4 linked regions of the Sus scrofa genome follow. The protein of the gene in region 3 binds, or shares a complex with, the protein of the main gene of each other region. Links are inferred from orthologs where the notes say so. Each region holds a gene or a part of one and is shown on either strand. Other genes may lie near its edges.

Region 1 (5,695 bases), on a different chromosome or scaffold from region 3:
AGTAGGGTATCATGGAAGAGCACATCAGATTCAGAATCGTGAGAGCTCAACCCTGGTCTTGACTCAGTCAATGGTGCGAGGTCTCTGGCTCTCTGTGACTTGATCTAAAAAATAGTGTAATCCTTGACTTGGAGCTCAAGGGGTGTTGAGTAAATGAAGTCACATCCATGGTGGGCTCATTTGAACACCTTCTGTTTTAAAAGACAGGACCCAACTCAAACAGGCTTCAGTGACAAGGGGACTTTATTAGTTCATGTTACTGAAAATCCGGTTTGGGCACAGCTGGATTCAGGGGCTCAAATATAATGTCAGCATCTGATTTCTCCCATCTCCTGGCTCTCCTTCTGCTGTACTCTCTCCATGCTCAGTATCTACATCGTGGTCCCCAGCATCCCTTCAAGAGCTGCATCCCTTCAAGTTCAAATCCAGCCTTCTAGTAGTTAGGATAGATTGTGGTTAGCTCAGTTTGGGTCACATGGCCAGGAGGATGCAGCCCCACTGGACAATCAGGCCTGGGTCCAGTGCCAGACAATCCCGTGATGAGTGGGGGAGCTTGGTCAGGCTTGGTTAAATGCTTAACCCTGAGAGCTGGGAGAGAGTAAAAATAGGGTGCATGGGAACCCCAGTTTTCTTCACAGATTGAGAATGGGAGAGGAGTGGTTTGCCAAAAGATAGTTGGGGTATTATTAATAGAAAAAGAAGTGGATGCTGGGAGGCTAAAATGACAAATGTGCAGTATACCTGAGTTTTTACATCACATGATATAAAGCAGGCATCGCAGCTTCCCTCTTTGCTATAAAGTCTTCTATCCTCACCCTAACAAGCTCCTGTAAGCACCCGAGGAGCAGTTATCTCACCTACAGTCATCTGTCTTCCTCCTCTGAACTTCTGCAGCCCCCAAGACTCCATCACTCATCAGCAACAGGCTGTGTCGGGTCATTAGCTGTCTTTTTATGTATATGTCCTGTCCCTCCATCCACATGACAGGATCCTGGAGAGCAAGGGTCATGTCTTATTCATCTTTGTGTCCCCCGTGGCACTTTGCCTGATGTTTGGGGCACAGCGGACAGTCCATAAATCTGCTGACAGATTGAATACCTGATTTATATGCTTCTGGAACCACAGAGGTACATAGTAGCTTGACTCAACTACAAAACTACAAAGAAAAGAGGAAACCTGTGACCTCCACACCATTTCCGAAAGATCGTAAATCTTTTCTGCACTAAATAATGATGCTGGGGTCAAGATTTGTTCCCCAGCCCCCAGCTGCTGGTATCATTCTTATTTAAAAACGATTGAGTGAAAGCCCAGGGAATCTTAGTCTCAGCTGTCCAGTACCGCTGGGTGGGTCATATACTGACACAGCCCCCCCCCAGAAACATGAAGGATGGCAATCACAGGAAGAGGAAGCAGATCTGTCCTCAGTGGCTTCCACCCCAGGCAACAAGGCAGAGCCCCAAGGTCCCATTAGTAGAACTGGCTGCTGGCTCCCTGCCCTGCACGGATCTCTATTCCCCATCCTCATTCGTAATCCTGACATCCAACAAAGGGAAGAGGGAGAGAGGAGAGCATGGAAGATCAGAGTCAGAAAAGATTTACTTGTAGTTTGGATGTTGCAATAATATTCCTCCCAAGCTAGCCTTGGTTCAGAAGCCCCTGCTGGCCATCCAGGGTCAGGCGATTTGCATTTGTCTCTAATCCCCTCAAACCGCCCTTAAGGCCAAGCAACTTGTTTAAATCATGCAGCCAAGACAGGATTTCCTCATCTGTAAAAGATATGTGGATTAAATCAATGAGCCCTAGAGAGCATCCACCTCTTGGTGGAGTCATGAAAATCAAACCAGTGGTGGAAGAAGGAAGTTTGGTTGGTAAAGGAGGGAGTGGTAACGAGGTCAGAAGAGTGTGGGTGGAGCGGCTGAGAGGTGAACCCGGTTTAGGGCAGGGGGCGGAACTGAGATCAAGAGCAATAAAAGCTCCACTCTCCATTCTCCCAGCTGGCGCTCGCCCTCCGGAGCCAGGCAGCCAGGCGCTGCCAGGCACCGCCCGGAGGCGGTGCGTGGGGTTACACGCCTCGCCCCTTCCTCCCCTAGTCCCACCCCCGCCCCAGCCCCACCCCCTGCCCTAGCCCCACCCAGTCCTAAGCCCCGCCTTCGGTGCCACCCTTGACCCAACCTCTTCCCGCCCCTGTTCCGCCTCCTAGCCCCGCCCACAAGGCCCGGAAGCAAAAGCCGTTTCTCCACTTCCCAGCCGGGTCACGACCCAGCGGGCAGGAGCCAGGATTGCGAGAGCTCGGTGTCCTCAGCGGGTCAGCGAAGGCCCGGTTCAGAGCCATGTCCACGAATCTGCGCACCGCGCTCATTTTTGGTGGCTTCATCACCCTGATCGGCGCCGCCTTCTACCCCATCTACTTCCGGCCCCTAATGCGGCTGGAGGAGTACCGTGAGTGACCTCTGACCACCACGCGGTGCCCTGGTCCCAGTGACTCCCTCTCTTTCCCCATCCTCTCCACGTGGGGCCTTGGGCAGAGCTTGGCTCGCGAGTCAGGGAGACCTGGGTTCGAATCCTTTGTGTGCAGCTTTGTGACCGTGGACAAGTGACTCCACCTCTTGGGCCCTCACTATCTTCATCAGTAGTTATGTGTTTCTGTAGTATCTTAAAATAAAACCGTCTAGCCTCTGCTGAGACTCAAAGGCAGTCTGCACGTCGTAGGTCAACACTAAATACGAGTTAATATTCATAGCTAACATTCACTGCAGGCTTCTATGTCTCGTTAATGCACATAGGATCTTTTAATTTACACCTTTTTTTGAGGTACATGTTGCTGTCTTACAGACGGGGAAACTGAGACTCAGGTTGTGTAACATGCCCAAAGTCACACAGCTGTTAGCGGCAAGACACGTATTCCAACCCAGGCCTCTGTCTCCAGAATTTCTTCCTTGTACTGAAGCTGGGAAGGTGATATTGGGGGAGGGAGGTGGGCCCTAATTGTCCTGAACTTGCAGATGTGTTTATTGCACTTCATTTCCGCTCCCAAAGATGTCTTTGATCAGAAATGTCTCAGAGCTAAACTGTTAACCTGAGGTTTTGGGTTTTTCCTCTTCTTTCTCCTCAAATCTTCCTTCAGATTCTGCTATCTTCCTTCATTTTAAGCTGGTTACTCACATGACAATGGTGAATATCCTGGGAGTAATTTTCTTCCTTAATCATTCCAGTCCTATCATTCTAAAAGCCACACTCCCCTTCCTTGAGACCTATACCTCAGCAAGGATTAGCACTTTGATACATCTGAAACCATCTGTCAGAGAGAAAATATTAGGCATTAGAGGCTCATTTTGTTCTCCAGGAAACCTGAATCATCTAGAAGATGGAAAAGGGCCAACCTTGCCCCTTGAGAATATCAGTGGAGGCTGTGAGCTTGGTGATTTGAAGGCAAAAGTGCTGTATAAATGCTCTGACCATTACAAATGCTACAACATCTGGTTTCTGAGGCAGAGCGGTTTAAGTACACACTCAAATTTCTTGTAGCTTCTTTTCATCAGTCAAGATTGAAATGGCCTCTGCACCCTGCCTTCCAGCCTATCTATCTACGTGACCACGCGTGACCACGCGTGACCACGCGTGACCACGCGTGACCACGCGTGGGGGTAAACATGGGACCTTGGAAGCCCTGCGTTATCTCTCTGTTTTATCCCTTCTTACTTGGTCCTTGCCCCGGGCTATTGTATTATAGCCCCTAGAGTTGAAGCTGGGACAAGGGAATCTACTTTGGATCCTACTTGAAAAGTTTCAGTTCTGAAGACTAGAGCCGTACCTCTCAACTGGGGATGATTTTTGTCCCCCAGGGGACATTTAGTTCTATCGGGAGACGTTTTTGCTGGTCACAAAATGGGTGGGGTGGGTGGAGTAAGTGTGCTCCTGGCATCTAGTGTATAGAGGCCAGGGTGCTGCTAAACTCTCTGTAATGCACAGGGCAGCCCCCACCCCTTAACAAAGAATTACCCAGCCCAAGATGCGAGTGGTGCCAGTGGTGCTGGGTTGAGAAACCCTTGCTCTAGGGCAGATGATCAAGGTGGGTTTGTGCTGTGTCTCCCAATGACAGTCTTAAAGGAATAGTCCAGGGAGTTCCCATTGTGGCTCAGCTGTTTAAGAACCTAATATCCATGAGAATGAGGGTTTGATCCCTAGCCTTGCTCAGTGGATTAAGGATCCAGCATTGCCACAAGATACAGCATAGGTCGCAGGTGCAGCTCAGATCTGGCACTTGCTGTGGCTGTGCTGTAGGCTGGCAGCTGCAGCTCCAGTTCGACCCCAGCCTGAGAATTTCCATATCTGGCAGGTGCAGCCCTAAAAAAAAAAAGGCGGGATGGGGAGTAGTCCAGAGTCTATGGTTGCCTGAGTCACCTTGAGATAGACAAATGAGGCCTTTAAAGTGAACATTTAGTGCATGTGGCTCCAGTATCTGCATTTTTAACTGTAAGGCATTCTACAGCTGCCTGCTTTTCTGGTTCAATTTTAATTGATTTGAACAACTCTTATCTGAGAGTCATAACTGATTCCTTAAAAAAGTAAATAATACTAAATAGCTAATATTTATTGAAAGCTCTCTTGCAAGCACTTGATATATATTAACCCATTTGGTTTTCATAACAACCCTTTGTGGTAGCTGCTGTGTGACTAGCTCCCTGTTTTATTTTTTAATTCTATTCTATTCTACTCTACTCTAAACTATTTTATTTTTTGTCTTTTCTTTCTTTTTTTAATTTTTTTTGGTCTTTTGTCCTTTTAGGGCCGCGCCCGCAGCATATGGAGGTTCCCAGGCTAGGGGTCTGATCAGAGCTATAACTGCCGGCCTACACCGGTGCCATAGCAACGCAGGATCCGAGCCGTGTCTGCGACCTACACCACAGCTCACAGCAACGCTGGATCCTTAACCCACTGAGCGAGGCCAGGGATCGAACCCACAACCTCCTGGTTCCTAGTCGGATTCGTTAACCACTGCGCCACGATGGGAACTCCCATCATCCCCATTTTATATGTGCACAGACTGAGGTATGGAACAGATAACCTGCATAAGGACCCACAGCCGATGAGTCCCAGACATGGGATTTGAACCAGGGCCCTTAATCGCTTTACCAGGGCACCAGGCCGTCTCTGTAAGAGGGCGAGAAAAGGGGTAAGTCAGATAAGGGCCTAAAATCCCTTACTCAAAGAGGTGAGTTCCTTAACCTCTCTGAGCCCAGCCTGTTTGCTAATCGGTAACAGTGGAATTTGCAGGACTGAATTTACATGTTTGTGGGTGAATTGAATGAGATAACATTTGTGGAAACATAGAAGATAGTCTTATACTAGCACCCCATAAAAACATTTCAGAAACCAGGAGCTGCAAGGGCGGGGAAGTGAGACAAGGAGATTTAAGCAGGTGGACAGACTCGGGTGGGGCATTCGTGGCCAGGTCTTGGGAACCATGTGAGGACAGGGCTTCGGTTCATTTCTGAGCCTCCAGCAGGCATTTTTATTTAGTTTCCTTTCCATTTCTTAAAAAATCTAGATTTTACTTCCTACTGTGTGCCTGGCACTGTGTCAGTTGCCAGATGTATATGACTGGACAAGGCAGTCAGAACTCTTTTCTCCATGTCACTGTCCCCACCTGTGTCCAGTTCCCCTGCCCCCACCCGCTCCCTGCACCCTGAGCTGG
Region 2 (5,826 bases), on a different chromosome or scaffold from region 3:
ATAACGAACCCGACTAGCATCCACGAGGACGAAGGTTTGATCCCTGGCCCTGCTCAGTGGGTTAAGAATCTGGCACTGCTGTGAGCTGTGGTGTAAGTCACAGATGCAGCTCGGATCTGGCATTGCTGTGGCTGTGGCATAGGCCAGCGGCTACAGATCTGATTCGACCCCTAGCCCGGGAACTTTCATATGCCGTGGGTGTGGCCATAAAAAGACCAAACATTTTAAAAAAGGTACATGAGTACCTGGACCTCAGTTGGCCGATCACAGGTTTCAACTGTGTATACAGCTAACAATGAAATGTCTATTTCAGCAATAACATAGTGCCTGTCACACAATAGGTCCAAAATAGATCATCAGCTATAATCATTAGTGTTGTTAGTAAGAAACGTACCACGGGCACAAGGCCCGGTATTCAGTAAGCTTAAAATAAATATCAATGACCATTATCCGTATTATTAACCAAAGATCTATGCTTGGCACACAACAAACCTGTAATAGATGTCACCTGTCAATAAAGTGAAAATGAGTTTTCCAGTACACGGCCACACCTTAGCCCAAAATAGATGCCAACTTTTACTGTAATGACAGTAAGGTATAAATACTGGCAACGGCAGCACAGCAGGCCAAAATGACAGATCCTATCATTATCCTTGTTTTGTTTTTTGTTTTTTTGCCTTTTCTTGGGCCGCTCCCGCGGCATATGGAAGTTCCCAGGCTAAGGGTCCAATCGGAGCTGAGCTGCCAGCCTACGCCAGAGCCACAGCAACGCCAGATCCGAGCCGCGTCTGCGACCTACACCACAGCTCACGGCAACGCTGGATCCTTAATCCACTGAGCAAGGCCAGGGATCGAACCCGCAACCTCATGGTTCCTAGTCGGACTCGTTAACCACTGCGCCACGACAGGAACTCCCCTACCATTATTTTACATACTGTAAACCATAATGCATATGCCAGCCACTTAAGCAGACCCGAAATACATGTCAGTTATTGAACTGGTGAACAAGTCGGTATATATCGCCTGAACAGTACCTGGCTCTACAGTAGATCTGAAAAAAATGTTACCTACTAGTATGGTAAAGAACAAAATATCAGCCTCCTCCCACTGTATTTGGTCCAAAAGAGGCTGTAATAGATGTCAGTTTACTATTAATATCCTTAGATACTCTTCCAGGGATCGATTGGATTAAATCTGGCGTATGAAGATCCAAGATAAGCATCAGCTGTCAGTATTAGGTACGACTAAAGCTGAAATGTCTATTCCCTGCCCCACCCCCACCGTAGGCGTCCGCGCGCACGCGGTAGGAATCGGCGTCAGGAATACGTATTGTTTACAACAAAATGTCTGCCAGCCCACTGCTTGGTATATAGTAGGCCCATACTAGGGATCGAGTGGCAATATCAACAACAAAGTGCCTGTCAAGCCTGGCACATGGTAGGCCCATCTGCTCTTAGCTCTCTCACCGGGCTCGAGATGTTTGAGGATGCCTCTCTTGGCCAAGCGGGTCTGCAACGCAACGGGCAGCGGCATAGCGGGTAGCAGACAGACCTAGGGAAGGACAGACGAGAAAGCAGTTCAGATAAGGATTTGAATCTGGAGCTCGTAAGCAAGCGCCTCTCCCCAACATGCACTCATCTAGACTCCCACCTACCCACCTGCACCAGGAGCTGGGCAACAGAACCTACCCGCTAAAAGGTGGAAGGGATAAACGGCAGTATCACCGAAATTCTCGCCAACTCTCCTCTCCAGGCGGGGTGCTCCGGGACAGGACTCCTCTCCCAGGCCTCCTCTCCCAGGCCTAGGCTCCACCCATCGCCGAAGGGGCCAAGCGCCGCTCCCCCGCGCCCCAGAAATGGGCTCACCCAACGTCCCCCAAAGACTGCCGGGTGGAAGGAACCAAGGAGCAGGGGTGGGGGGAGCAGGGTTTCCTCTAGCTCCAAAAAATGCGCCCACCCCGACATTACCAATACAGTCACGCGGGTTGCGGAAGGCTGTCAGACTGTCGGCCTCTCTCTCGACGCCTTTATGATCGCCAGGACCACGACTCTTTTTCTCCTGAGGGAAAGAATGAGGCCCTCTCTCCCTGAGCCAGAGGTAACTGGGCGACGCTCGGGCTGCAGAGAACAGATGACGGAAACCTAACTGGCCAATGAGAGTGCGCCTTGGCCTGACGTCTGGCGAAAGGACCCAATCATTACCTTGGAATAGGTGGAAAGCTCGGGCGCCTGTGTGCGTTTACAGTGGGGGTGTGGCCCGGCCGGGATTTAGCCAGACTGCGCGGCCGGACGCCGGCGCCATGGAGGAGTACGCTCGGGAGCCTTGGTACGGCGAGGGGCACAGGCCTCGGGACTCTTGCTGCGGCGCCACGGCCAGCGGTGGGAGGCGGGCGGGGGAGGCGCTGGCTACACAGCGCCACGTCCCAGACTCGGGAGACTTTTAAACGTTTGTTGTCTCCTTCCGCTCCCGTCCACTTGTTTCCTTACTTGGGCTCCGTTAAGAGGGGCCACAACTGTGTGCTTGAAGGAGCTGGTGCGGTGCAGGACGAACCACTCCACGTTTCCCTTGACTCTTGTCCCCGGTCCCTCTTGTTAACGGAAAGAGACACGTTGGTCGAATCCATTCCAGCCGGGGGGTGGTGTGTTGCTAGGCGGAAATCCCCAGGGTTACCGCGCGTGGTTTTTCCCAGGTCCCTTTGGTGAATGGAGGCGGGGCTTGGGTGAGCCCACTGTGGGCAAGGAGGGGGTGTCGGATCGTCCCCACGGTCTGCAGCTAGGTTTTTCCTCCCTCGTGCAAGGTGAAGAAAGGGAAGAGCGTGGCTGGACGAGCTCATTGTCGGAGGAGGGGGTGCGACCCCCGTTGTACTTTACAGTGCCAGCTTGTTAACACTTCCGTAGCGCTTATTTAAACGTGCCCACTCTTTGCTTGCAATCAAGTCATTTAATCTTTGCTAGCAGTAAACCAGTTGGCTGTGAAGGAGAGGGGCGGACAAGGGCAACGACTAATGTTTTTCCCCCTTCCGCACTGTTTCTTTGCGAGAATATGGAGGAAAATACCCTCTTTATTATTTGAAGTGCTGCTCCCCATTTGAGTGACGTAGTTTCTCCCAGCTGGAAAGTGTCCTTGTGACATAAAATGGGGGAGGGCTCACATTAACCCTATCCTCCCCTTCCCGCTTGCAGCCCATGGCGAATTGTGGATGATTGCGGTGGAGCCTTCACTATGGGTGTTATCGGCGGTGGAGTCTTCCAGGCCATTAAGGGCTTCCGCAATGCCCCTGTCGTGAGTCCTGACCTTCCTTGGGTGGTGCGGGGGTCTTGCCCCGCCCACATGGGAAAACCGCTTGGAGTGCCAGTCACGGGCACTTAATCATTCTGGTGCCTGCCCACCTACTGTGTGCCAGGCCTGGTTCCACGATCTGGGAGTTTGGGGGAACTGCATACATGACCTCTGCCCCTCACCCCCCACCCAACTGGAGCTCCTCTTTGGAAATGCTGTGCTGTCAAAAGGTTTTGTCATCACAAAACTTAAAGGTGTGTGTGCAAAGCCAGACAGATGTTACCTAAAGACAGACTCTGGGTTGGAAGCCTGGCTAGAGGGAAGTGATAGGAGTTTAATTGGCAGGAGGAGGACAGCCTTAAAATTGACAATATGCTTTTAATTGAACATACTCAATTCTGTCTCTCTGAACAACTCCCCCCTCCCCCTTCCTGAGAGATCTCATCAAATGTATGACTTTTTGGGTTTTTTGGTCTTTTAGGGCCGTACCTGCAGCATGTGGAAGTTCCCAAGCTAGGGGTCGAATTGGAGCTACAGCTGCCGGCCACAGCCACAGCCACAGCCACGCGGGATCTGAGCCACGGTTGCGACCTACACCACAGCTCAGGGCCACGCTGGATCCTTAACCCACTGAGCAAGGCCAGGGATCACGCCCGAGTCCTCATGGATACTGGTTGGGTTCATTATCGCTGAGCCACAACAGGAACTCCTCAAATGTCATGACTTGAAATGCCATTTAATGTCAGAGTCTCTGCAATTTCTCTCTCTAGCCCTGTCCCTCTCCCACCTTCTGGAACTCTCTTTTCTGGATCTTTGCCCGACTCTCTCCCTCTCTTCCTCAGGGTCTCAGCCCCCAACCCCAAAGAGGCCTTTACTGACTGCTCAGCCACTCTCAGATCTCTTCATCCTATTATCTCTATTACCTGCGGCTGTCTGAAGCTATCTGGTTCACCTGTGCCCTTGTTCAGGATCTGTTCCTCCTATACTGTGAACTCTGAGAGGGTAGGAGCCAGGTCTACCGTGTTCACTGCTGGAACCCTGCTTATGGCATGGGGGCCTGGCACACTGGTGCTCAGTAACTACTGAATAAGTGAATGAATGAATGAGTAACATCTCAGGCCACTTATGTGGGGGTGCTCCCTAGCCCTCCTAGTTCTTGGCCACTGCTCCACATCTCTACCCCTGACACCCCTACTACCTTTCCAGCCCCAGTGCCTCTCCTAAAAGCTAGAAACCTTGTCTGCCGTGGACCTCAACCCTGCTCTGACTCCCGTCCTCCTCACTTTCCTCCAGGGAATCCGGCACCGATTGAGAGGCAGCGTCAACGCTGTGAGGATCCGAGCCCCTCAGATTGGAGGTGCGAGGTTTGGGGAGACAAAAGAGGTGTGATAACAAAGTTGGGGGTGGCTGCTCCTTTGAGTCTAGAATGCACATCGGGGGTCCAGATTCTAGCCACAACTCTGCCTGGCTGAGAATTCCTGGGGGAATTTTTTTTTTTTTTTGGTTTTTTACGGCCACACCAGCCTATGTAAGATCTCAAGCAAGGCCAGAGATCTAACCCATATCCTCATGGATACTAGGCTGGTTCTTAACCCACTGAGCCCTGCATTTCTTTTTTATTTTATTTTATTTTTTTTTTTGTCTTTTTGCTATTTCTTTGGGCCGCTCCCGCGGCATATGGAGGTTCCCAGGCTAGGGGTCGAATTGGAGCTGTAGCCACTGGCCTACACCAGAGCCACAGCAACGCGGGATCTGAGCCACGTCTGCAACCTACACCACAGCTCACAGCAACGCCGGATTGTTAACCCACTGAGCAAGGGCAGGGACCGAACCCGCAACCTCATGGTTCCTAGTTGGATTCGTTAACCACTGCGCCACAACGGGAACTCCCCGGAATAATTTATTTATTTATTTATTTATTTTTGTCTTTTTAGGACCACATCCAGGGCATGTGGAGGTTCCCAGGCTAGGGGTCAAATTGGAGCTGTGGCCACTGGCCTATGCCACAGCCACAGCAACATGGGACCCAAGCTGTGTTTGCTGCGTGTCACAGCAATGCCGGATCCTTGACCCACTGAGCGGGGCCAGGGATCGAAACTGTGTCCTCATGGATGCTAGTCAGATTCATTTCCACCAAGCCATGACTGAGTCTCCTGGGGGGGGGGTAATATTTCCCAAAATTTTCATATGGGTGAGTTCTGGAGTTTAAATCCAGGCCCTGGCTCTTCTGTGATGTGTGAGCTTGGGCTGGTGGCTTAACCTCTCTGAACCCAGTGACAGTAACAGTCACCACCTCAATCAGTTTTGTGATTCATGGAAAACTTAGTACTTACTAGTGCTGGTTGCACTGTTAAGCACTTTGATTATATTAACTGATTTAGATTTTCAGAAATCAAGTAATATGCAGTATGTAGATCAGGTCCTGGCACACAGTAAGACCTCAGTAAACATTTTTTTTTTTTTGGTGCTTTTTAGGGCTGCACCTGCGGCATATGGAGATTCCCAGGCTAGGGGTCCAATCGGAGCTACAGCTGCTGGCCTACAACA
Region 3 (5,555 bases):
GAATACTTTTTTATGCTTAAACATAGATATTTGGTTTATTAGAAGGCATAATATGTGTGACTTTTTGTGTCCACAAATTGAGAAGACTTACAACCAAAAAGGCAGTGCTCAAGAATGAAAACGGTAAACTCTGGTCATGGCACAGAGGAAATGAATCTGACTAGTATCCATGAGGACACAGGCTTGATACCTGGCCTTGCTCAGCGGGTTAAGGATCTGGTGTTGCTGTGAGTTGAGGTGTAGGTCACAGACCCAGCTCGGATCCAGCGTTGCTGTGGCTGTGGTGTAGGCCATCAGCTACAGTTTCAATTAAACCCCCAGCCTGGGCACTTCCATATGCCCCAGGTGCAGCCCTAAAAAGACAAAAAAAAAAAAAAGAATGCAAACGGTCTTTAGCATTAACCCTCCACCTGCTAATCTAACTGGAATGATGGGTGCAGAGCTAAGAACAGCTCACGATAAAAGAGGGATTTAATACGGTATCACAATAGTATTCAGATGCTTTTGACAAACTGGGTCTCTCACTTTGTGAAGTAAGCCATTAACCTTGGAGTTAAGCTGCCAAGTTCCTTTTGGAAAGCAACTGCTTCCTCCTGTCCCCTGTTCCTTCCTCATCTCACCCTTCAAAGCTGCCTTTTCTCATTGTAGAAGAGGGGCACTCTTCAATTCCAGGGTACTCCGTAAGAAATGGAGCAGAGATGAGCCCCCCAGACACCAGAACTTGATACCATACGCCCCGCCCTAGCGCCTGGGCAGGAAAACGGCAGAAAAGGACTAGGGGCTGAGCACTAACGGGTGTCTGTCTAGAAAGCAACCCTCCTAGGTTTGCTTTGGAAAGCAGACTGGCCTTGAGGTCGGAAGTGCAGCTCCCAGACCAACCTGCCTAACAAAGAGTTATCTGGTTAGGGGTTGAGCCTTCCATTCACAAACCGCGCTCAGGAGAAAAAACATTTTTAAGAGTATATTCTACTTCTCTAGGATATAAAGTCAAGAAAAAGACAAAATGTGATTCCTGGTGCCAGAATAAGGAAGCAACTTCGGGAACACGTTCCGTAGAGGGGGCCGCTCGCACCTACCTCCGCAGGTGGAGCGCATCAACGCTGCGCCTCTCCCGAGGGCTGCTCGGGGTCTCGGGCTTACACGCCCCAGCTTCGGGCAGGGCCCATTAACTTAATGAACTGAGGGGAAAATATTCCCGAGAAGCTCCACTACTTGAATTTATTTGGGGTAGCCCCAAGCTCCCAAGCTTTAGAAACTTTTTCCCGCCGGCCTTCCAGACATTTCTCGCGCTAAAAGCAGCGGGGCAGAACCAATGAAAATCAAAGGAAAGGGAGGCGGGGGAGTAAGAAACTTCCCTTACGGGGGACTCCCTGGGCTCACACCCCCGCCGGCAGTACCCTGCCCGCGGCCCCCGAGAGTCACCTGAACCCCGCGCTCCTGGCGGCTTCTCCCGCGCTCCCGGGGGCCCAGAAGTCGCCGCCAATCCGCGGGCGCCGAGCCAGGAGGCCGAGCCAGTACTGCTGCAGGAGCCGGCCGCGTCCAGTCGCCATGGAGACCCAGCTGGAGCACCAGCAGCGCCCTCCTCCTTCCTACCGTCGCACCGCCCAGGGTCACGCCCACTCGACGCCAGCGCACGCCCCGACGTGCGTACGCAACGGAGGGGCGGGGTCAAGAACCACACCGCCTTTCCACTCGGAGTGGTTCTAGGAACGTATGGGGCCCGGTTTCTAGCAACTGCTGGAAGTCCTGACGCCTAGCAAGTGTATCGCCTGGACTTTACGGCGGCTACGCCCTTGCCCCTCCCCCTTGCTGACTCTGGCACTTTGCGGCTGCTTCCTGTCTGATTTCCTTGGAGAAACAAATACAAAGGCTGTGACACTTGGCCTTAAGGAAAGGCATAGCCACAGTCACACCGAGAACTTCCCAGTTTACATAGCCCTCTTTAGAGGGTTGTAAGAACTTGCAGTTTCTAATTGCTAACTTGACCTTCCTAGGTGCGTTTTGTGCTACGCAGAGCAGGGAGCCCCGCCCACCGTCCCAACATGGTCTCGCCTTTCTGTCGCGCCCAGTACGTGCGGTGTGTGCGCAGGCGGCCACGCAGAGGAGCTTGGGAGGCAGCCTTGGACTGTGGGAGATGTAGGCCTAAGGCCACTGCCCTTGCAGCAACTCTGTGAGGGGTGCTGCCCTCAAACTACAATTCCCAGGATTCTTAGGGGCTTCCTAGGTTACTTTGCAAAGGCCTGGCGGGGACAATGTGAATGTCAGCATAGAAAGTAATGAAAGCACATTAATTCAAGTAAAAAGAGGGCCGGAGAGAAGGGAAAGTGGACGTCAGCTCCTTTACGGAGACTTTTTGTCTTGATTTATGCTCCTTGTTTTTTTTTTTTTGCCGGACACGCAGTGCAGAACTACCGATGTGAATGCGGACTTAAGTCCGCCTCTGGCCGGGTGTGGAGTTGGTAGTGAAGATTTGCTCATCTTAGCTGGCATCTTCCCTCAGCGGAGCGGCTTTCTGTGAACATGATTTGTACCTTACTACGAGCTGTACGGTGCACGGGAAAGCTGCACAGCTTCTCGGGGAAGCAGTTGTTTTTGCCACACTTTGTACTTAACAAAGCTTGCTTGAAGACTGTGCCCAGTTTGAGGTGGGCTCTGCAAGAGCAGAAGACGGTACGACCTAGGTGTATTTGGGGAGTCACCCAGAAGACCATCTGGACGCAAGGACAGAGCACGCAGAGAGCGAAAGAGGACAGCGACAAACAAGTGTCTGTGCACAGAAGTCAGGGCGGGGATACTGCCGTCTCAACGTCACAGAAAGGTAAAAAGGAATTCCCTGTAACTATCAGTCTTTCAGCCAACGTGACGAGAGCTGCTACTGCCCTTCTACACAAGTTCAGTGCTGAGCATAAACAGCTTACACAAATTAAAAGGTAGAACCATTACACAGTTAAGAATTAGAGCATATGAGCCTACAGGTCTTTTCACAAATTCGAACTGAAATATGAAAGTTGATTTTGATAAAACTTAGTTGAATTGTGTCTGTAAATTTTTTCTCAACTTTTACTTGTGGAAAGAACTATGTAAAACTTAACCGTTGTTTAATACTTTACAATAGATAAGTACATTTCCCAGATGTTATTTCATCTCATTTGAGTCTCACATTTACTCTTTCAGACGTTAGTATTCATTAGTATGTACGAAGCATATTTGCCCAATTTCACACAATTCAAAATTGAATGTGAGTCTTCCTTATCCTCAGTTTTCTAATATCCAGGCCAGTGCTTTTTAAAACAACCACCCCTGTGTCTTTAGTCTTTGATAACACTGTCTCTGCCATTCTCTCTTAGATGTGATACTGTTTTTGATTTACTATCTTGGTCAGTGGGAGGCAGTTTCAGAGGCTTCCATTGGATTTTTCCCATTATAGTAGCTCTTAACCCACCTCCAAAGGAAGTAAAGAAGGGCCTGTTGTTGCCAATTACCACGCATATCCATTCCATTTCTACATTGGAAATCAGGGAAATGACTATCAGAGAAGGCGGTGGACCCAGCTATGAACCTCTTCCAGGCCAGGCTCTTTATCACATTGCCACCATAATGACTCTTTAGGGTTGATGTCAGCTCAGACTCTGTCTGGCAGACCTTGAAATGTTTGGGTAGTCCCCTTTCCCAGCATGCAGTTAATGGCATAGGTCTCTGATGAAGGGCCAGGGGAATCATATATAGTTACTCAGGTGCCCCCTGATAGAGGTTGGCCTCCCTTGGGTAAATGGATTCCAGGTCTGAAGACTGACTCAGGTCGAGAAACCAAGCCATTCATTGTGATGGTTGCTTCCCCCTGGCTTCACTACCATAGCTGCCCCCATGGCTTTCAGGACAGCTTGTTCTGTGACAATGTGAACGGTGGTTTCCAGACCCTTCTACATGACAGTCAGCTGGTGGGTTTCTGCCTCTGTCCTCTCTTGCAGACCCACTCTCTGTGACTTTTGATCATTTCCTACACAGTTTTCCATGGCAGTTCTGTTATTTTTGCTTCACTTAAGGTAGACCATGCTCTCTCCATCTTTCTAAGAGCGAGCCTAGCTGTGCATCTGCTCCCAGCCCGCTTGTCAGACTTTAGTTTCTAATCTGAGGAGCGTGCTCCCTTATTGATCAAGTCTCACTTTTCCCGTTCTGTATTCTTTGCCCCTTCATGATGCCCTTCATTCTGTGTCTCCTGGCTCTGCTGGTGGAGCCTCCAGCCTGTTTAGGAGTGGCTCATGTCCTCCTTCCCCTAGTTATGTTGCAGCCTGCCTAGAGCATAGGTCTTGCTAGATGGAAGCCCCAACCAGGTCTTCAAAGAAGAGGAAGAGCTAGCCTTTCCCTGGGAGGTGAGAGCTGCTGCTTCACACTGGAGGGTTCAGGAGAATCTGCAGATTCAAGATTTGAGATGCATCAGCCTCGATACACCACTGCCAAGCTTCAGGTTCCTTCCCAAGTCATGACCCTGGCCTCGGTGTGGGAAAGCTGGTGGGATTGAAAGTCCAGCCTCTCTGCTACTCTTTAGCCTGGGCCTTGCCCTCAGTGTTTTCTGCTCTCTGGGTGCAACGAATGAGTCTCTGGTTTTGCTCTCAAGGAGGCCTCTGCCTTTTACACTTGACCTTCATTAGTGATCAGTTACCTTTGTCTTCTTTCTTCAGTGTATTGGTGGCCCTCAACTACAGCCATCCAATCTGAGCCCTTCCAATTGCTTATTTCTCCTAAATTCCCAAAATATGACACCCACTAGGGCATTCCCTCCCACCAGTTTCCCAGGTCATCTGTGAGAGGCGAGACAGTTGTGCTATCACTGCTTGCCACCAGGGGTGGAGTCCTCAAGGCCAGCCGGCAGCCAGTGATGCAGCTCCAAAATCCCAATTTGGAGCACCTTCCCAGGACCACTCCTGCAGGCCCCACCGTAGGGCGAGTTCCAAGGAAGCCAACTCTGTACAGTTCGTCAGCGGGAGGTTTGAGGGCGTGTTTTCAGAATGCCTCTGTGAGGGCGAGGGAGGCAGGACTGGGCAGAAGGAGAAGCTGAAGCACAGGGTGTTTGCCTCAGCTGTTTCTGCAGGAGCTCAGGAACTGGGCTGGCCCTTGAAGTCCTCATCTCCAGGGGTGGGGGGCATCCACACCAGCCAAGCACTGGATATGGGCAGCGCCAGGGCTTTGGTGAGCAGGCTCTCTTCAGGTGCAGGAATTCCGTCAGCCAGCCAGCAGCCCGAGGGACTCCCCATGCTGGGGGAATGAGAGCCTCGGTCCTGAGAGGAGCATGTGGGTGCTCACCATAGCACCCCTAATTGCAGAGACAGATGGCACAAGGGTTTTGTATGAAAGTGTAGAGTCTGAAAGGGTCAAGGAGAGGAAGTAGGCAAAGAGCAGCTTCCACTGAAGACAACTATGAAATAACACTTAAGCTTTAAAAATGTGTGGATGGTGGGCTTTACATAGAATATATACAGTAGACATTTGTGGTTGAATTAATGGGGAAGAGGCCTCCCGGAAAGTCTAAGTGAGGCAGCAGTGACTGTGCTGGGAGG
Region 4 (5,541 bases), on a different chromosome or scaffold from region 3:
CTTCGCCTTCCTTCCCCTTCGCTGCTGTCATTCCTTCTGCTTTCAACCCTCCTCGCCGCCCATCAGAAGCAGCCTACTTTCTTCAGGCTCCAGCTCAAAATGCCAGTTCACAAGCCTGGGGCTCTCTCACCTCTGAATGCCTCTGCCTGTATCATGTCCTATGTCATCCACGTTGGCATTTGATCATTTTATTATTCTTCCTCTCTGAGGACATTTGGAAGACCCTGAGGGGAGGAGCCATGCTGATATTTTCGGTACCCTCTCCATCCCAGGCCTTAAACGAAGAGCATCCTGAGCACAGAGTCAGGGTGTCACTGTCGACTTGGGGTTCCCAATCCCTCTCCTTTGCACCTCGCTATCCATCTGATGGTCCTGTCCCGGGCCTAGCCTCAATAAGTGGAAAAAGACTGGGTGTACAAGTTCAAGGGTGCCAGATGAATGAAAGCTAACGGTGGGGTATGGGATGGACGGGGTGGGCAAGAGGCCGCAGGGTCACAGCCTCACAGCCTCCAGGCGGCTTCCAAGGGAGGAGCTTCCTTCCCTTGTTTTGTTCAGTTGGGGAAATCGAGCAGCAAAACAGGTCTCAGGGCCACACCTCCTTCAGTCCCCTGGTGGAGCTGTTTTCCACAAAGCAATACTTAGAGGACCTGGGTCTCTGGGGGTCCAGTGCCATCTCATCCTTGGCCCAGAACACCCACTTTCACCAAATAAGCCCTGAAGCATTGGATTACCAGCTCCACTCCACTCCCCCAGACTCAGGGTCAGTTCACTCTCGGGGACCCCAGTCCTTTTGTCTATGAGTCTTGTTGTCATTCCTTTATGTCACTGACCATTCAGCTCTTTTCTTCTAAGATGGAAGGGCTACTTCCAAGGGTGGGGTGACAGCTTTCTCCTCCAGCCAAAGGCTAAGTCCGAGGCCTCCTTGCCCAGCCCCAAAGAACTAGTTTTCAACCCGTCGAGCCACCATGGGAACTCCCTGAAGTGTTTTTAATTACATTCACACATTCCAAATAAGTAAGCCCTCCTGGACGCAGGCATCCAAGTCAGAGGACTGGTTTGAATTGTTGTTTTCACACTTCCAGACTAGCTTTATTTAGTTCTGTGGAGGGTTCAGTTCATTTCACCTTATTTCCAAGATTTGGGGGGGGGAACCTCATTCCCCCTGCAGTTTGCTATTATTTATTACAGAAACTTTTCCATGAAATAAATGTACACACATGTTTTGTTTCGTTGAGGATTTTTTTTTTTTTTTTTTTTTGTCTTTTTAGGGCCACACCCATGGCATATGGAGGTTCCCAGGCTAGGGATCCAATCGGAGCTGTAGCCACCAGCCTATGCCAGAGCCACAGCAACACAGGATCCGAGCCGTATCTGTGACCTACACCACAGCTCAGGGCAACGCCAGATCCTTAACCCACTGAGCGAGGCCAGGGATTGAACCTGCAACCTCTTGGTTACTAGTCGGGTTCTTTAACCACTGAGCCACCAGAGGAACTCTGGACATTTTAAAGTCAATCTCAGATGTTCAGGATGGAGACCTATAGCAGCTGTCACCTGACTGAGGTTTTGCTTTCAGGCCGATGGCCCCCAGCCTTTTGTCTCCTCCTCTGGGCTAAGCCCCCCTTACATCTCCCGGGATCATTTAGAGTGAGGTCCGGAAGAACTCTGTTGTTGCTGTCCCCCATGTTAAGGTCCCCCATGAATCACGGCAGCGCCCCAGGTGTTCACAAACATTCATGGAACGTTCACTACATTCCGGCCCCCCCGAGATAAAATATTCAGGTACTGCCCATCTTAAGGAGCTCCGTGGCAGCAGTGGGGGCCTTACCGACCCGTCGAAGTTGGCAGCAGTAATTCGCACTTGACAGCCGGGTACTAAAACAGAGAAAGTCATTCGGGAGGTTCGAGTTACAACGGCAGTTTTGTTTCGGGCCCCACCAGGCCCCGCAGCTTCAGCTCTGGGTACCTCTCCTCACCTGGGATTCCCCACGCGGCCACCCACACGCACCGCCCCTCCGCCTCGGAGGCCCGCCCCTCTGGTCTGAGCCCCGCCTTCCGCCCCGCGGCCCCGGCTTTCATTGGCTGCGGGAGGAGGTGGCGAGCCAATCCCCGCAGATTCTAACGCCCTCCTCCCGGGATCACTTCCGCCGCCGGGCCAGGCCCCGCCCCGTTTACCCGGCATCGCGGCGCCGCGGAGTCAAGATGGAGGAATACGCGCGCGAGCCCTGGTGAGCCTTCTCGCCGAGCTGCCTGCCTCCCGGCCCGGCTCGGCCCAGCCTGGCTCCCGAGGCGAGACCGCTCAGCGCCAGGCTCGGCGGCGCCGGGGCTATAGGCACGCAGGCGTGAGCGGCCGGCTTCTCAGCCGGTGACCTTGCGGCGACTCGAGGGCGCCCCGGCTCAGCTGTGCAGACGCGGCCCCTGTCCGACCTGCGGGTGGGAAGCAGCCCCTCTGCCCTCCGGCGACCTTGGCTCGTCCTTGTGCCCGCGTGGCTCAGCCTGCGTGGGGAGGGAGCCAGGCCGAGGAGGCCGCTTGGGGGCGAGGGCCGGGCTGGGGACTCTCCCGTGGGGGCGAGGCGTGTGTTCTCGAAAAGCCACCGACGGGAGTCGGTCCATTCGATGTTTTGGGGCAGGGGGCTGCCTGTGCTCCGCAGTCGCTCGGTCCTCAGAAGGAAAGCATGGAGGAGTCCGACCTGCAAAGTTTGAGGCTTCTGGGGTCAGGAGTGAAAATAGAACGTGTTACTTGGGTTAATCACCGGTGCTTTCCATCTGTCGGAAGGGGCCAGGGCTTTCTGTAACGAATCGTGCCAGCAAAAGCCATGTTGCCTGCTTTGTGCTTTTTTTTCCTCCCTGAACTGAGATACAGAGTATTACTTTGCAGAGCCTCCCAGTTCTTTAAATTTCCCTTCTCCAAAGGTGATACCCCTTCCTGGGTTGTACTCAGGTGTGCAGGACTCAGCATACTATACTGCTCATGTCAGGTATGATAGGGCACAAGTTGGCAGGAGGGGAAGTTGTTTCACTTGGTTGTTAGAGGTGTTAGGGAGTGATAGTTGTCATCTACAAACGCATTTAATGGCCCCTTTGTGCTCTCTTACTCCGGATGTTCTGAAGCCGCATGGTCAGTTCAGTTCTCAGGTTGGCTTTGTCCTCAACTGCTTTGATCTTCTGGAAGACCCTGGTCCCTAAGGTCATCCAGGCTCAAACTACAAGCATCTTGCCCTCCCTGCACACCACCCCACCCAGCCCCCTTGCTGTCGTCGGAATTCTTTGAGGACTTGCGCTTTCAGTTCCTGTAGTCAGGACCTTACCTCTGTCCTTAATGCCTTTTACAGAAGCTTCTTTATTGTTTTCCTTCTGTCCTCTTCCTTAAATGTATGATAGGTACTTAATGGTCCTAAATACTTTCTTTTTTTTTTTTTTTGTCTTTTTGTCTTTTCTAGTGCTGCACCCGAAGCATACGGAAGTTCCCAGGCTAGGGGTCCAATCGGAGCCAATCGGAGCCGTAGCTGCTGCCTACGCCACAGCCACCCTAAATACTTTTTAATCATGTTTTCTTTTCAAAAGCCCTTAGTCTATAGGATGTAGTGGAAAGAATTTGGGGGCTTTGGAGTACTAGATTTTGTATTTAAATTGGTTCTACTAGGTTTTTTTTTTGTTTGGTTGGTTTTTTTTTTTTGTTTTTTAGGGTCGCACCCATGGCATATGGAGGTTCCCAGGCAAGGGGTCAAATTGGAGCTACAGCTGCCTGCCTACGCCACAACAATTCGGGATCCGAACCATGTCTGTGACCTACACCACAGCTCATGGCAACACCGGATCCCTAACCCACTGAGTGAGGCCAGGGATGGAACCCCTAGTTGGATTTGTTTCTGCTGGGCCATGACAGGAACGACTAGGTTTTTTGTTGTTGTTGTTTGTTTGTTTTTTGGGATTTTTTGGGGGTTTTTTTTTGGTCTTTTTAGGGCTGAACCTGCAGCATATGGAAGTTCCCAGGCTAGGGGTCGAATTGGAGCTGCAGCTGCCGGCCCACACCTCAGCTCACGGCAACACCAGATCCTTAACCCTCTGAGCAAGGCCAGGGATTGAACCCACATCCTCATGGATACTAGTTGGGTTTGTTAACCAGTGAGCCACGACGGGAACTCCTAGGTATTTTTTATTTGACCTTGGGCAAGTTACCTAATCTCTGAGTCCCTGTTCATCTGTAAAATGGAGAGGAGACAAATACTCTTTTGCAAAGTTAAAAGATAGGGATTCTATAAGAAAATAATCTAGCTTTCTTGAAAGTCCGAAAGGTACCTACAGTGTAGTTGATGACTTTTAATCTTGGTATGATTGGTTATTGGTTCTTGTTGCCCTGTATTTGCCTAGCATTTGCTTTTTTTTTCTTCCAGTTTTCTTTTTTTGGCATTTTTGTCTTTCCTAAGGCCGCATCTGAGGCATGTGGAGGTTCCCAGGCTAGGGGTCCAATCGGAGCTACAGCTGCGCACCTACACAGCAGCCACAGCAACACCAGATCTGAGCTGCGTCTGTGACCTACACCACAGCTCACGGCAACACCGGATCCTTGACCCACTGAGCAAGGCCAGGGATCGAACCTGCAACCTCATGGTTCCTAGTCGGATTCGTTAACCACTAAGCCATGACGGGAACTTCCTAGCATTTGCTTTTAGAATCTGGCTTCACCCTTCCTTTGGTGTAGACCATCAGTTCCCTGCAGGCACATTTGGATTTAGCCAGGCTTTGTTCAGAAACTTTCCGTCTTGCCTTTGTTTGGGACATCCTGTCCGAATACTGTGGCTGCTCTGATCTGAATCCTTTTTTTTTTTTTTTTTTTTTAATGGCCTCACCTGAGGCCTATGGACGTTCCTGGGCCAGGGATTGAATCTGAGCTGTAGTTGTGTCAATGCTGGGTCCTTAACCCACTGCACAGGGCAGGGTATCAAACCAGCACCACTGAGACAATGCTGAATCCTTAAGCTGCTGTGCCACAGCAGGAATTCCTGGCTCCTGCTAGTCTTCATTTCTTAAATGCTGATTTATTTCTGTTCTGATTAGAGGATCATTTAGGTTAGATTGTTTAAAGTTAGTGACTCTCCTCTGTCTTTCCGCCCTTTTTTTTTTTTTTGTCTTTTTGCCATTTCTTGGGCAGCTCCCGGGGCATATGGAGGTTTCCAGGCTAGGGGTCTAATGGGAGCTGTAGCCACCTGCCTACACCGAGCAACGTGGGATCTGAGCTGCATCTGCAACCTACACCACAGCTCACGGCAACGCCAGATCCTTAACCCACGGAGCAAGGCCAGGGATCGAACCTGCAACCTCATGGTTCCTAGTCGGATTCGTTAACCACTGAGCCACGACGGAAACTCCCTGTCTTTCCTCTTTTCTACCTGTTAATGTTTCTACTATTTTGAGGGAATTTTCCTAATCCTTTTTAGTGAGGTCAGGTCACCTGTGGATTGTGTTAAACTGTAGACTGATTCAGGAGGTCCCAAGAGCCTGCAGTTCTGGCAGCTCCCAGGTATTTGTTGCTGGTTGTGT

Evidence for each region.
Region 1: TIMM21 (region 3) and SMIM20 share a complex: the UniProt entries of both Homo sapiens proteins name them as parts of the MITRAC (mitochondrial translation regulation assembly intermediate of cytochrome c oxidase complex) complex. The link is inferred for Sus scrofa from reciprocal best matches to the Homo sapiens genes TIMM21 and SMIM20.
Region 2: TIMM21 (region 3) and TIMM17B share a complex: the UniProt entries of both Homo sapiens proteins name them as parts of the TIM23 complex. The link is inferred for Sus scrofa from reciprocal best matches to the Homo sapiens genes TIMM21 and TIMM17B.
Region 4: TIMM21 (region 3) and TIMM17A share a complex: the UniProt entries of both Homo sapiens proteins name them as parts of the TIM23 complex. The link is inferred for Sus scrofa from reciprocal best matches to the Homo sapiens genes TIMM21 and TIMM17A.

What each region holds. Positions count from the first base shown.
Region 1 is NC_010450.4:19,698,829-19,704,523, forward strand, and holds the start of SMIM20 (small integral membrane protein 20), read left to right. Parts: upstream 1-2,213; 5' UTR 2,214-2,330; coding exon 2,331-2,439; intron 2,440-5,695.
Region 2 is NC_010461.5:42,972,372-42,978,197, reverse strand, and holds the start of TIMM17B (mitochondrial import inner membrane translocase subunit Tim17-B), read left to right. Parts: upstream 1-1,910; 5' UTR 1,911-2,152; coding exon 2,153-2,325; intron 2,326-3,182; coding exon 3,183-3,282; intron 3,283-4,572; coding exon 4,573-4,636; intron 4,637-5,826. Other genes in the region: PQBP1 (polyglutamine-binding protein 1), read right to left, coding at 1,467-1,533. UniProt on the Homo sapiens protein: Essential component of the TIM23 complex, a complex that mediates the translocation of transit peptide-containing proteins across the mitochondrial inner membrane.
Region 3 is NC_010443.5:149,852,536-149,858,090, reverse strand, and holds the start of TIMM21 (mitochondrial import inner membrane translocase subunit Tim21), read left to right. Parts: upstream 1-2,187; 5' UTR 2,188-2,520; coding exon 2,521-2,818; intron 2,819-5,555. Other genes in the region: FBXO15 (F-box only protein 15), read right to left, coding at 1,423-1,550. UniProt on the Homo sapiens protein: Participates in the translocation of transit peptide-containing proteins across the mitochondrial inner membrane.
Region 4 is NC_010452.4:24,198,198-24,203,738, forward strand, and holds the start of TIMM17A (mitochondrial import inner membrane translocase subunit Tim17-A), read left to right. Parts: upstream 1-2,147; 5' UTR 2,148-2,202; coding exon 2,203-2,228; intron 2,229-5,541. UniProt on the Homo sapiens protein: Essential component of the TIM23 complex, a complex that mediates the translocation of transit peptide-containing proteins across the mitochondrial inner membrane.